3 linked regions of the Macaca fascicularis genome follow. The protein of the gene in region 2 interacts with the protein of the main gene of each other region in a biochemical or structural test. Links are inferred from orthologs where the notes say so. Each region holds a gene or a part of one and is shown on either strand. Other genes may lie near its edges. The genes, in order: ENC1, NFE2L2 and GSK3B.

Region 1 (4,135 bases), on a different chromosome or scaffold from region 2:
GACGCGCGGACCCGGGGACGGAATTAACTCTGTCGTGGGGCCCTCACTCTCGAGCTGCAGAGCTGGGACACTGTTGCTAAGTGACTACGAGCCAGGCAACTCACATCTCCCTGGGCCTCGGTTTCCCACCTGTAAAACAAGGGAGCTGGACCGGTCATCTATCCCGTTCCTTTATACACTTAATTCCAAACACCGAATAAAAAACAGACATTTTAGCTCCCAGTGGAAAGACAAGTCTCTAGTTGCAAAGATAAATGGGATTCGTAAAAGTGATCACCACGCGAGATTATTTTTCGAATCGCCTTCCTTTCTCCTGGCACGCGGGGCTATTAAACGTGTGTGTGCGCTGAGCCATTTCTTTACTGAACTCCAAACTACCACCACCGAGCGATAAAAAACAGGAGAGGGTGATGGAGGCTTTATCGCTAGGAGAGGAGGTGGCGTGGCTGCTGCTTTGAGGAGTTCACTTTGAATCAAGCGGCCGCGGCGATTGGCTGAAAAGCACGTGGTGCGCGCCCCGCAGAACTGCACCCCGGCTGCCGCTGCAGTCGCCTGGCTTAGGGCAGAGTCCAGCCGTGGGTGCCGCACCCGCTGGGGAATGGGGAGGGAGGACACATGGGAAATGCCTGGGGCTGGAGTCTCTTTGGCTCTCTGCCAGTAAGAAACTTAAAAGTCCTGGCTTGCTCAACCCGAGTGTCCCCAAAGCTTTCAGACTTTTGCCCTTCCATTGCCACTATCTCTCCCCACTCTGGGCGTCCTACCCAAGGAGCTATCTATGCGTGCCCAGGGCTTGTCCTGTGGATATCCAGCTCGCCCCTGGCTGCCCTTTTTAGAGCATCGCGCGGGCTCTGGCATCACCGAGCGTACAACGCCGGGCTGCGCTCCTCTGAGGTGCGTCCCTCAGATCCGGGACTGTCCATTAACCAGGCTGGCTCAGAGAGGCGCAGACACACTCGAACCCGGGAAAACTTATTTTATTCTCGGTTCCCGGGGTTGCAGCTGCCAGCGGCTGAGATAGCGCGTCCGCTTTGTCTCTCTGCAGTCCCCGCAGCCCCCCTCTCCCGCTTCCTCTCCCGATTAACTCCCCCGACACGCTCTTCCCCAGCTCCTCTCCTCCTCCCACTCCTTCTCCTCCTCTTCCTCCTCCTACACCACGGGCCGCGCTAATGCGCTTCCTCCCTCCCCCGGTGTCGGTCTCTTTGCATACGCGCCCCCTCCCCTCCCCGCCGCGCCACTTATAGCGGGGCGCACCGCGGCGGGGCGCAGACTGCTCTGGCAGCCGGAGAGGAGGCGGTGCGGCGGTGGCGCTGCGGAGACCGGGTCCAGACGCCTGGCGGCAGCCGGCGCACAAGGCGCTTTCTAGCTCCCTCCCCCGAGCACACAGCCCGCCTCCTTCCGCGGCGCCTGCAGTGGCAGGCTTGCTCTCCGCTCCGGTGACGCGCTCCGGTAGACGCTCTGCGGGTCCTGGACGCCGGGTGCGCGGCGTGGGGACAAGAGGCAGAGGCGAACGCCAGCGGTAGCCAGTCCGCGAGCCATCGTTCGGGGCGCAGTCCTCTCCCCGGCTGGCGCTCCTTTCTCCGGGGCATTCGCCACCGCTTCCCGGGGCTGAGACGACCGATTCGTCGCCTCCTTGCCCGTGACCGACGCTAGAACTCAGTTGTGCGTTGCGGCCAGTCGCCACTGCTGTAAGTTTCCCCCACTGCCCCGGACCTGTTGCAGGCGCTGCCGGCTTCAGGGGCTGCTTCGGCTGCAGGGGTGTGTTCGCGAGGGGTGAGCGTGCTCCGGGCAGCCGGCAGCTTCCACTTGAGGCCAGGGGGAACTCTTCTAGGTGCGGAGACCATGGTGCCCGCCGCTGCCCTTCCACAGCAGGCAGGAGCCGGGCATCGCCAGAGAGGTCGACCGGCGGTGCAATGTCCGGGGCGAGCCGCTGGGGAAGCGAGGAGCAGAGCTAAGGATACAGTCAGCCTCTCTCCTCCGCGGAAAGCAGCGCTTTCCTGGGGGTGAATGTCGCGCTGCGTCGCTCCCCGCAGCCTCCAGGGCGGAGCGCGCGGAATCGTTGGCCCACGTTGCATCCTTCCCGGCTCAGAGGAAAGTTGGGGCCACGCACAGACACCCTGAGAGCGGGCATGTTCACTGCGGCGGAAATGTCTTATAGAGAATGAATGAAAACTGTTTTCTGAAAAACTAGTTTCTTGATCTGTCGTGTTAACATTATTAGTTACAAAGGACAGGAATTGGTGGGCGGGGAGATGAAACATTGAATTTATCCACATGCAGTTTGGTGTCACACAGGCATGGCCAGCTTGTTAAATAGCTTTGCAAGTGTTAATAAAAAGACTCTGGCAAGAAGCTACTTTTGTTAACAAGATCTTTATAATGTTCTGTTGTTACCGGTAATATAAATGCCCAGAAAAAAATCTGCCTAGTTTCTCTTTTGATTGGATTGAGATCAGGTTCAAAACCTGGAGAAGCGTGCGGGACGCTAAGCATTGGAGGCAGAGAGCCTGAATTAGGAGCATGAAGTGAACTGAAGTTACTGTAACTGAAGCCCTTTTGATGTTCACAGTAATAGCCCTTTTCTCTGTCTTCTTTGTAGACGCAGATTAAGTATAAGTGTGCATTTTCTTGGCCACTTACTTGATATGCAAATGTGATTTCTCTGGGGGCTTAAAAATGCTGGAAAGATGATTCATTTTATGTTGAAGGTGTGTTCAGTGACTTGTATACGTGGTTTCTGCTGATATTTTGAAGTTTGCACACTTTTAAACCAGAAAGCAAGTATTTCCCCTTGGGTTTCCAAGTTTACTTTTTATTTTAATCAAACATTTTTGCAAGAATGTTGATTGTGATTTTGGCTGTGACGTGCTTTTCCATCTGGATGGTATCCAAGATGACAGGCTAGGCTCTTCCTTCTGGCTTGTTGGGCCAGCCTGGAACATACAGGAGCATAAACACAGGATGCGGAGAGATGTAGATCCTATATCCTAAGGTCTTCTAAACAAATTGTTTTCTTAGCTGTAGGTCTGGTTGTGAATGTTGTTTTGCACCATCCTGAATCTAATGTTCAGGGAAATGTGTTCTGGGCCCAGCATGATTCCAGCTCAACGTGTAAGCATTTTGGTGTCTGTGCACCTAGTTTCAGGGAACCTCATTATTCCTTCAGTCAGGGCAGCATTTGCTCTTCGCCTGAGAGGCAGTAGCTTCATAGGAGGATGTAGACAGTCTATCCAGGTTTAGACTTAAAGTCTTCCTCCAAATACTTCAGACTGAATGTACTAATTAAAATAACAACTACAGTGGTGGAGCATTGAGAATGCTAATGGATGTTTTAACCCTTTGGAAACCTGATGCATTCCCCTAGGTTCACATGGTCATTTTCCAGAACACTGGGCATTGGTTAGAATGGAGTAGACAGTAGACACTTAGCCTGAGGTGGGAGTGAGGCTGGCTCCTCACCATTTTTTATATCCCAAGTCACTGTGGAGATTACTGGGTGCTTTGTAAAGTCTTCCTAACACTGTAGCTCTAGGACTTTGTTGCTTCCTTTCTTCCACTAAGCCATGTTTACTCATCATAAAAAATTACATTCCAAAAAGGAAAGAAAACTAGTTGCATCACCTAATGGCGTGAGGTATATGTGTCCTGCCCCTGCCTTTGTGGTTTTCTGTGCAGTCTCACAGCGGGGCTCACATCTGGTTGGGGAGGTGCAAGTTAGTATTTTAGCCCATGAATCTGTGGCAAATCATTCATTTGCATTTATTAATAATTCTTAGAATGTAAATTTAAAAATATCTGAATGGTTAAAGGAAACAGAGTTTCAGCTGCGCTTTCAGGACTGGCTGTTCTGTGTCTGGAACAGATACTGTAACCAGCCACACAGTTTACCCTCTGGGGATAAACAACGGGATAAACAGCTTCCTTAGGAATCCTTGGACAGGCAGCTTCTTGAGGACTTCATTCCTTTGAAGTAACAGAGGGGTGGTATGAAAGAAAAGGATGAAGGCATGTGATTCAGTTTTTGAAGATGGATGACAAGCATTTCCTATGTCTCTAGCCTACTGTTTTCTTACTGAAGAAAGCCAAAAGATAGCATTAGATTCTACTATAATTTCATTGTAGATACTGAGGAAAGCAC
Region 2 (2,639 bases):
TTGAGCAAGTTTGGGAGGAGCTATTATCCATTCCTGAGTTACAGGTAACTAAAATAGAATGTAATACTGAAGATATTATTTTATATTCAGTGCCTTTAGTCATTCTGATTATTTATATGCCGCCTATTTATAGGAAGGATTGGAGGGTGCTATTAAATTAGTCATGAGTACTGCCCATGCTAGTTAAATGGGTTGGATATCTTGAGGATAGAATGTTATAAACCTGATGTCTGATCCGGGAACTCTGAAAATAATACATATGCTTAGGCATAAATACGTATTGGAAGTGAGAATTATCTCTAAATTATAGAGAGAATAAATTATAGAGATAAGCCTGAAGATAATGTGGGTAGGGAGTTTATCTAAATTTATCACATATTATCATGGATTAACTTTGATTTATATAGTATAAACTTCTTTCCCATGCAGTGTCTTAATATTGAAAATGACAAGCTGGTTGAGACTACCATGGTTCCAAGTCCAGAAGCCAAACTGACAGAAGTTGACAATTATCATTTTTACTCATCTGTATCCTCAATGGAAAAAGAAGTAGGTAACTGTAGTCCACATTTTCTTAATGCTTTTGAGGATTCCTTCAGCAGCATCCTCTCCACAGAAGACCCCAACCAGTTGACAGTGAACTCATTAAATTCAGATGCCACAGTCAACACAGATTTTGGTGATGAATTTTATTCTGCTTTCATAGCTGAGCCCAGTATCAGCAACAGCATGCCCTCACCTGCTACTTTAAGCCATTCACTCTCTGAACTTCTAAATGGGCCCATTGATGTTTCTGATCTATCACTTTGCAAAGCTTTTAACCAAAACCACCCTGAAAGCACAACAGAATTCAATGATTCTGACTCTGGCATTTCACTGAACACAAGTCCCAGTGTGGCATCACCAGAACACTCAGTGGAATCTTCCAGCTATGGAGACACACTACTTGGCCTCAGTGATTCTGAAGTGGAAGAGCTAGATAGTGCCCCTGGAAGTGTCAAACAGAATGGTCCTAAAACACAACCAGTACATTCTTCTGGGGATACGGTACAACCCTTGTCACCATCTCAGGGGCAGAGCACTCCCGTGCATGATGCCCAATGTGAGAACACACCAGAGAAAGAATTGCCTGTAAGTCCTGGTCATGGAAAAACCCCATTCACAAAAGACAAACATTCAAGCCGCTTGGAGGCTCATCTCACAAGAGATGAACTTAGGGCAAAAGCTCTCCATATCCCATTCCCCGTAGAAAAAATCATTAACCTCCCTGTTGTTGACTTCAACGAAATGATGTCCAAAGAGCAGTTCAATGAAGCTCAACTTGCATTAATTCGAGATATACGTAGGAGGGGTAAGAATAAAGTGGCTGCTCAGAATTGTAGAAAAAGAAAACTGGAAAATATAGTAGAACTAGAGCAAGATTTAGATCATTTGAAAGATGAAAAAGAAAAATTGCTCAAAGAAAAAGGAGAAAATGACAAAAGCCTTCACCTACTGAAAAAACAACTCAGCACCTTATATCTGGAAGTTTTCAGCATGCTACGTGATGAAGATGGAAAACCTTATTCTCCTAGTGAATACTCCCTGCAGCAAACAAGAGATGGCAACGTTTTCCTTGTTCCCAAAAGTAAGAAGCCAGATGTTAAGAAAAACTAGATTTAGGAGGATTTGACCTTTTCTGAGCTAGTTTTTTTGTACTATTATACTAAAAGCTCCTACTGTGATGTGAAATGCTCATACTTTATAAGTAATTCTATGCAAAATTATAGCCAAAACTAGTATAGAAAATAATATGAAACTTTAAAAAGCATTGGAGTGTCAGTACGTTGAATCAGTAGTTTCACTTTAACTATAAACAATTTCATAGGACACCATTTGGGCTAGTTTCTGTGTAAGTGTAAATACTACAAAAACTTATTTATACTGTTCTTATGTCATTTGTTATATTCATAGATTTATATGATGATATGACATCTGGCTAAAAGCAAATTATTGCAAAACTAACCACTATGTACTTTTTTATAAATACTGTATGGACAAAAAAATGGCATTTTTTATATTAAATTGTTTAGCTCTGGCAAAAAACAATTTTAAGAGCTGGTACTAATAAAGGATTATTATGACTGTTAAATTATTTGTTTGGGATTCCTTTGAGTTTATTCACAAGTAGTATTTTCCGTAAGATAATCATCCTTTTAATTTAGATGTTTTGCATTTTCACAATGTTTTATTTGAAAATATAAAAATCATTTTATACTAAATTTCTAGTACCAGGGTTACAGAAAAATAAAGTATATCAAGAGGATACTTTGCCTCTTCAATAGCAAGTACATCTAAACCCAAGAAAATGTTATACACTGACGTGAAAGCATTGATTCATTTATTTCCATCAGTAGATATACGCCCACTATACACTAGGCACAGTTTGAAGTAGAAAGGACAAAACCAATATCCCTGCCCTGGAACTTGCATTCTAGTGAAGGGGAGGTAACAAGCATACTCCACTATGTTAGAAGGAATTGGATGGGGAAAACCAGTAAAAAGCATCACAACTTAAGGCTGTAAATGGGAAGAGCGTTACTGAAGTGGCAACATTTGACGATGGGGGGGAGAAGCCGTTCTCATAGCCAAGAACACTG
Region 3 (3,656 bases), on a different chromosome or scaffold from region 2:
CTTTCCTGATTCTATCTGCTTCCTAAGGTCTGATTCAGCTATGGCTGAATTTGAAATTCTAATGACAGGAAGAAATGGAAAGAAGGGGGTGTGCCAAAGGTTTATTCCAATTTCCAACATCTGAGAGCAGATAATATTGTCAGTCATGGGGTCCTGGAACACTGAAGCTTCAGTGCTGGAAAAATGAGAGAGGTCTGATGTTCTCCTGAGTTATGGATTTAGGCAATCAGAAAGATCTCAAAGTTGTCCATCTCATATCTGTTCATCTCTCTCCTTCGTCTATCTGAATATGGAAATATTGTGATTATATGAAAGTAATGCTAATTACTGTTTATGGCTAATTACTCCATGGTACAGTAACAAACATCAAATTGCAGTTAGCTTTATTGTAAGCTTTACCTTAATAAAACACTATATTTTACTCAAGTGTTTAATCTTTATAGTTCCGTATATATAGCAGGTTTACTTTAGAAATTAAAACAATAGTAATGACAACCAGAGGGAACATTAGAAATGCCCCAAAAATACTGGTTGTATGAATTAATGAATATTATGTTTATTTAAAGTGGTACATGGCACTCATACATTCATTGAGCACCTACTATATGTAGATCTTTATTTTATTTGGGGGAAGCAGTGCTGCAGATGTCACTGACAATTTGTTATGAGGATGGAGGAGGGCTTTATGCTGCCTTTAGAAGAACCTCACTAATATCCCTCACCCTTCAACCAGACCCCCCACAATGTTTCTATCTCTAGATTTCCTTTAGCTATACAACCAACTGGAAGATTGATTCTCCTTCTTCAACCCCTTGGATTACCCAGTTTTATTCTGGTCATCCATTAATTACTACTAACTAGCATGTGCTTTAAAGTTGCATCTGTACACAGTTACAGCTGCCTCAGAAAACAAGATCACCATTTGGAAACACTGCTCCAAAATTAGAATACAGAGTATCATATCAAATACAATGGCATCAAGGCTAGGCATGGTGGCTCACACCTGTAATCCTAGCACTCTGGGAGGCCAAGGCAGGCAGATCACCTGAGGTCAGGAGTTTAAAACCAGTCTGGCCAACATGGTGAAACCCCGTCTCTACTGAAAATACAAAAATTAGCCAGGCATGGTGGCAGGTGCCTGTAATCCCAGCTACTAAGGAGGCTGAGGCACAAGAATTGTTTGAATCTGGGAGGTGGAGGTTGCAGTGAGGCAAGATCATGCCACTGCACTCCAGCCTGAGTGACAGAGTGAGACTCCGTCTCAAAACAAAACAAACAAAAAAAACCAAAAAACAAAAACAATAACAACAACAACAACAAAAAAAACCTCTCTTCCCTGGACATCTTACATAGAAACACTGTTCAAAAACAGTAACAATAGTGATTTACAAAGACCGTGAGAAAGTACTACTTTGTGATTACAGCTCAGTTTCAGAATGGGTGCTAAGACAGAGCATTTTAACACTTTTTAAAAAGGGGCCATATCTCAAAATGACAGCACTTTCAATAATAAGTAGGCATAAGCACACTCTGTGACGTCTGCCCAAGGACGAAAATTGCTGAATGACACATTTCTCAGAACATATCTGCATCACTAAGGAATACATGACTGTGTTTACAGGGTCCAGTTTTTCACTGATACTCAGAATCACATAAACACTCTGATAACCACAGAGACCACACACTCTATCTATACACATTACATCCAAATATAAATGCATTCTCCAAACCCTCAAAAACATAAATGTTCAAGACCCACATCATATTTATATCTAATGTGCTGGGCAAACATATTTTAAAATACCAAAATAAAAGAGTCTTCTTTTTTTTTTTTAAAAAGAAAGATATGATATATATGAATAAAGGAAATAGATTTCTTTCTTTCACAGAAAGCTCAACATCTCCCTTTTCTGTTTTCTAGCCTGAGTATGCTTACTAATCAATACATCAACTGTGTTTTTTTTGGTAATGAATTGTACATTTTTTATGCTCAGTGTAAGAAGAAAGTCACATCATCAGAGGTAGTGTGACTGAATGAATGAATCACTTAGGTCTTAATCAAGGAGAAAAGAAAACTGAACACAGAAATAGTGAAGAAATAGTGACTATCCCAAGGTCTTCCAGAAACCACAATGCACAAAGTTAGTTTTCCTTTCAGTATTTTCTCTGCAGCAGCGATGGTGCCAAATCTCAGAGGGGATGGAAATTTCCTTGTCTCTATTGTTTGTTTAAGTTCTTAGAAAGGGTTTATAGGGCTCCAGTTTTCCTCCTGTTTGGAAGACAACTGAATTTATACAAATATAGCCAATTCATTCCAGGTTTAAAAAAACTTGATACAAACTCTAGGGAAGCAAGAAATGCTACTATTTTAAGTTTCAGATCCAAACCTAAAGGTTAAATTGTACATTAGTCCAATTAGTGATAAACTTCACTCACTGAACTCTCTGTAACTTCTCCTGTGCCAACATTATATTCTGCTAAAAATTAAAGAAGCTATGCCTATTGGAAAACTTTTATGTGCTACTCTTTTCTTCAAAATCATATAAGTAGTGACCATTAAGTTAGAAAGGATGCTCTTTTCGCCTACCTAAGTACTTAATATGTCCATTTTTGTCTCCCACAGATTTTAATTAATAGAATGTCATTTCACACCCAGTGTGTAGCTTTCCTAGAACTGGTGAAGAGCAAAGTGTTTGGATTTACCTTGAGTGGTGAAGTTGAAGAGTGCAGGTGTGTCTCGCCCATTTGGTAGTTTGACATTTGGGTCCCGTAATTCATCAAAAAATGAATGTGCACAAGCTTCCAGTGGTGTTAGTCGGGCAGTTGGCGTATACTCCAGCAGACGGCTACACAGTGCAATTGCCTCTGGTGGAGTTCGGGGTCGGAAGACCTGCAGTACAAAAAAAGGGAAAGAATAATTAATGTTTTAAGAAACTAAGTAAATACCCTGTGAGCAATGACTTAATTACCACCATGCACAGAAACATGGTTGCATTTGGGAAAGGACCTTCTAGAATGGAAAAAGTTAAATGCATATGATTCACAGGGGTGAATTGCTAATTAAAGATTATATGAGAAATGCTCGGAGAAAAATCTATATATGCTAATCATAAAGTAACAACAATCAGACATGCATACAAAATATGATAGGCACACGGGAAAGGCTGAGTTCTGGAGGCAAGTACAACTAGAAAATTATTTCTTAAATTTTAAAGTTTTCACTGCTATGGCAGTAAATAAAAGATTGCCTCTTTTGCATTGTTTTTTAGCAGAACAATTGTTAATGATGGGCAGTACTGTTCAAAAATTTGGCAATCAAAAAGAAAAGAAAGAAGAGCTATTTACTCTAGGTCTATAAATGCTACTGATTTGGTATTATTTCCAATAAACAGAACCTACCATTATTTGAAGAAATTCTTGAATACCTTGAATTTGATTAAATGTCCTATTTTTTTTTTCTCAAGTAGGTGTTACCATGAATATGGCCAGATTTCCCCCACTTGAATGAATATTCCAGGGTTTTAATCAAGGAGAAAAAAAATGTATTAACCATTAAGAATGATTAAGACACAGAAAAAGTGAGCTGAAGGCAATATTGAAGAAAAATTCAATTAAATTGATCTACTTAAAGGAATAGATAGCTTTCTACTAATTTG

What was found.
Region 1: the proteins of NFE2L2 (region 2) and ENC1 form a complex in vitro, tested with the Homo sapiens proteins (2 studies listed by BioGRID). The link is inferred for Macaca fascicularis from reciprocal best matches to the Homo sapiens genes NFE2L2 and ENC1.
Region 3: of the proteins of NFE2L2 (region 2) and GSK3B, one has a biochemical effect on the other in vitro, tested with the Homo sapiens proteins (2 studies listed by BioGRID). The link is inferred for Macaca fascicularis from reciprocal best matches to the Homo sapiens genes NFE2L2 and GSK3B.

Annotation. Positions count from the first base shown.
Region 1 is NC_088380.1:78,628,115-78,632,249, reverse strand, and holds the start of ENC1 (ectoderm-neural cortex protein 1), read left to right. Parts: upstream 1-1,262; 5' UTR 1,263-1,685; intron 1,686-4,135. UniProt on the Homo sapiens protein: Actin-binding protein involved in the regulation of neuronal process formation and in differentiation of neural crest cells.
Region 2 is NC_088386.1:72,766,725-72,769,363, reverse strand, and holds the end of NFE2L2 (nuclear factor erythroid 2-related factor 2), read left to right. Parts: coding exon 1-44; intron 45-429; coding exon 430-1,656; 3' UTR 1,657-2,131; downstream 2,132-2,639.
Region 3 is NC_088376.1:163,313,578-163,317,233, reverse strand, and holds part of GSK3B (glycogen synthase kinase-3 beta), read right to left. Parts: intron 2,891-3,656; coding exon 2,704-2,890; intron 1-2,703. UniProt on the Homo sapiens protein: Constitutively active protein kinase that acts as a negative regulator in the hormonal control of glucose homeostasis, Wnt signaling and regulation of transcription factors and microtubules, by phosphorylating and inactivating glycogen synthase (GYS1 or GYS2), EIF2B, CTNNB1/beta-catenin, APC, AXIN1, DPYSL2/CRMP2, JUN, NFATC1/NFATC, MAPT/TAU and MACF1.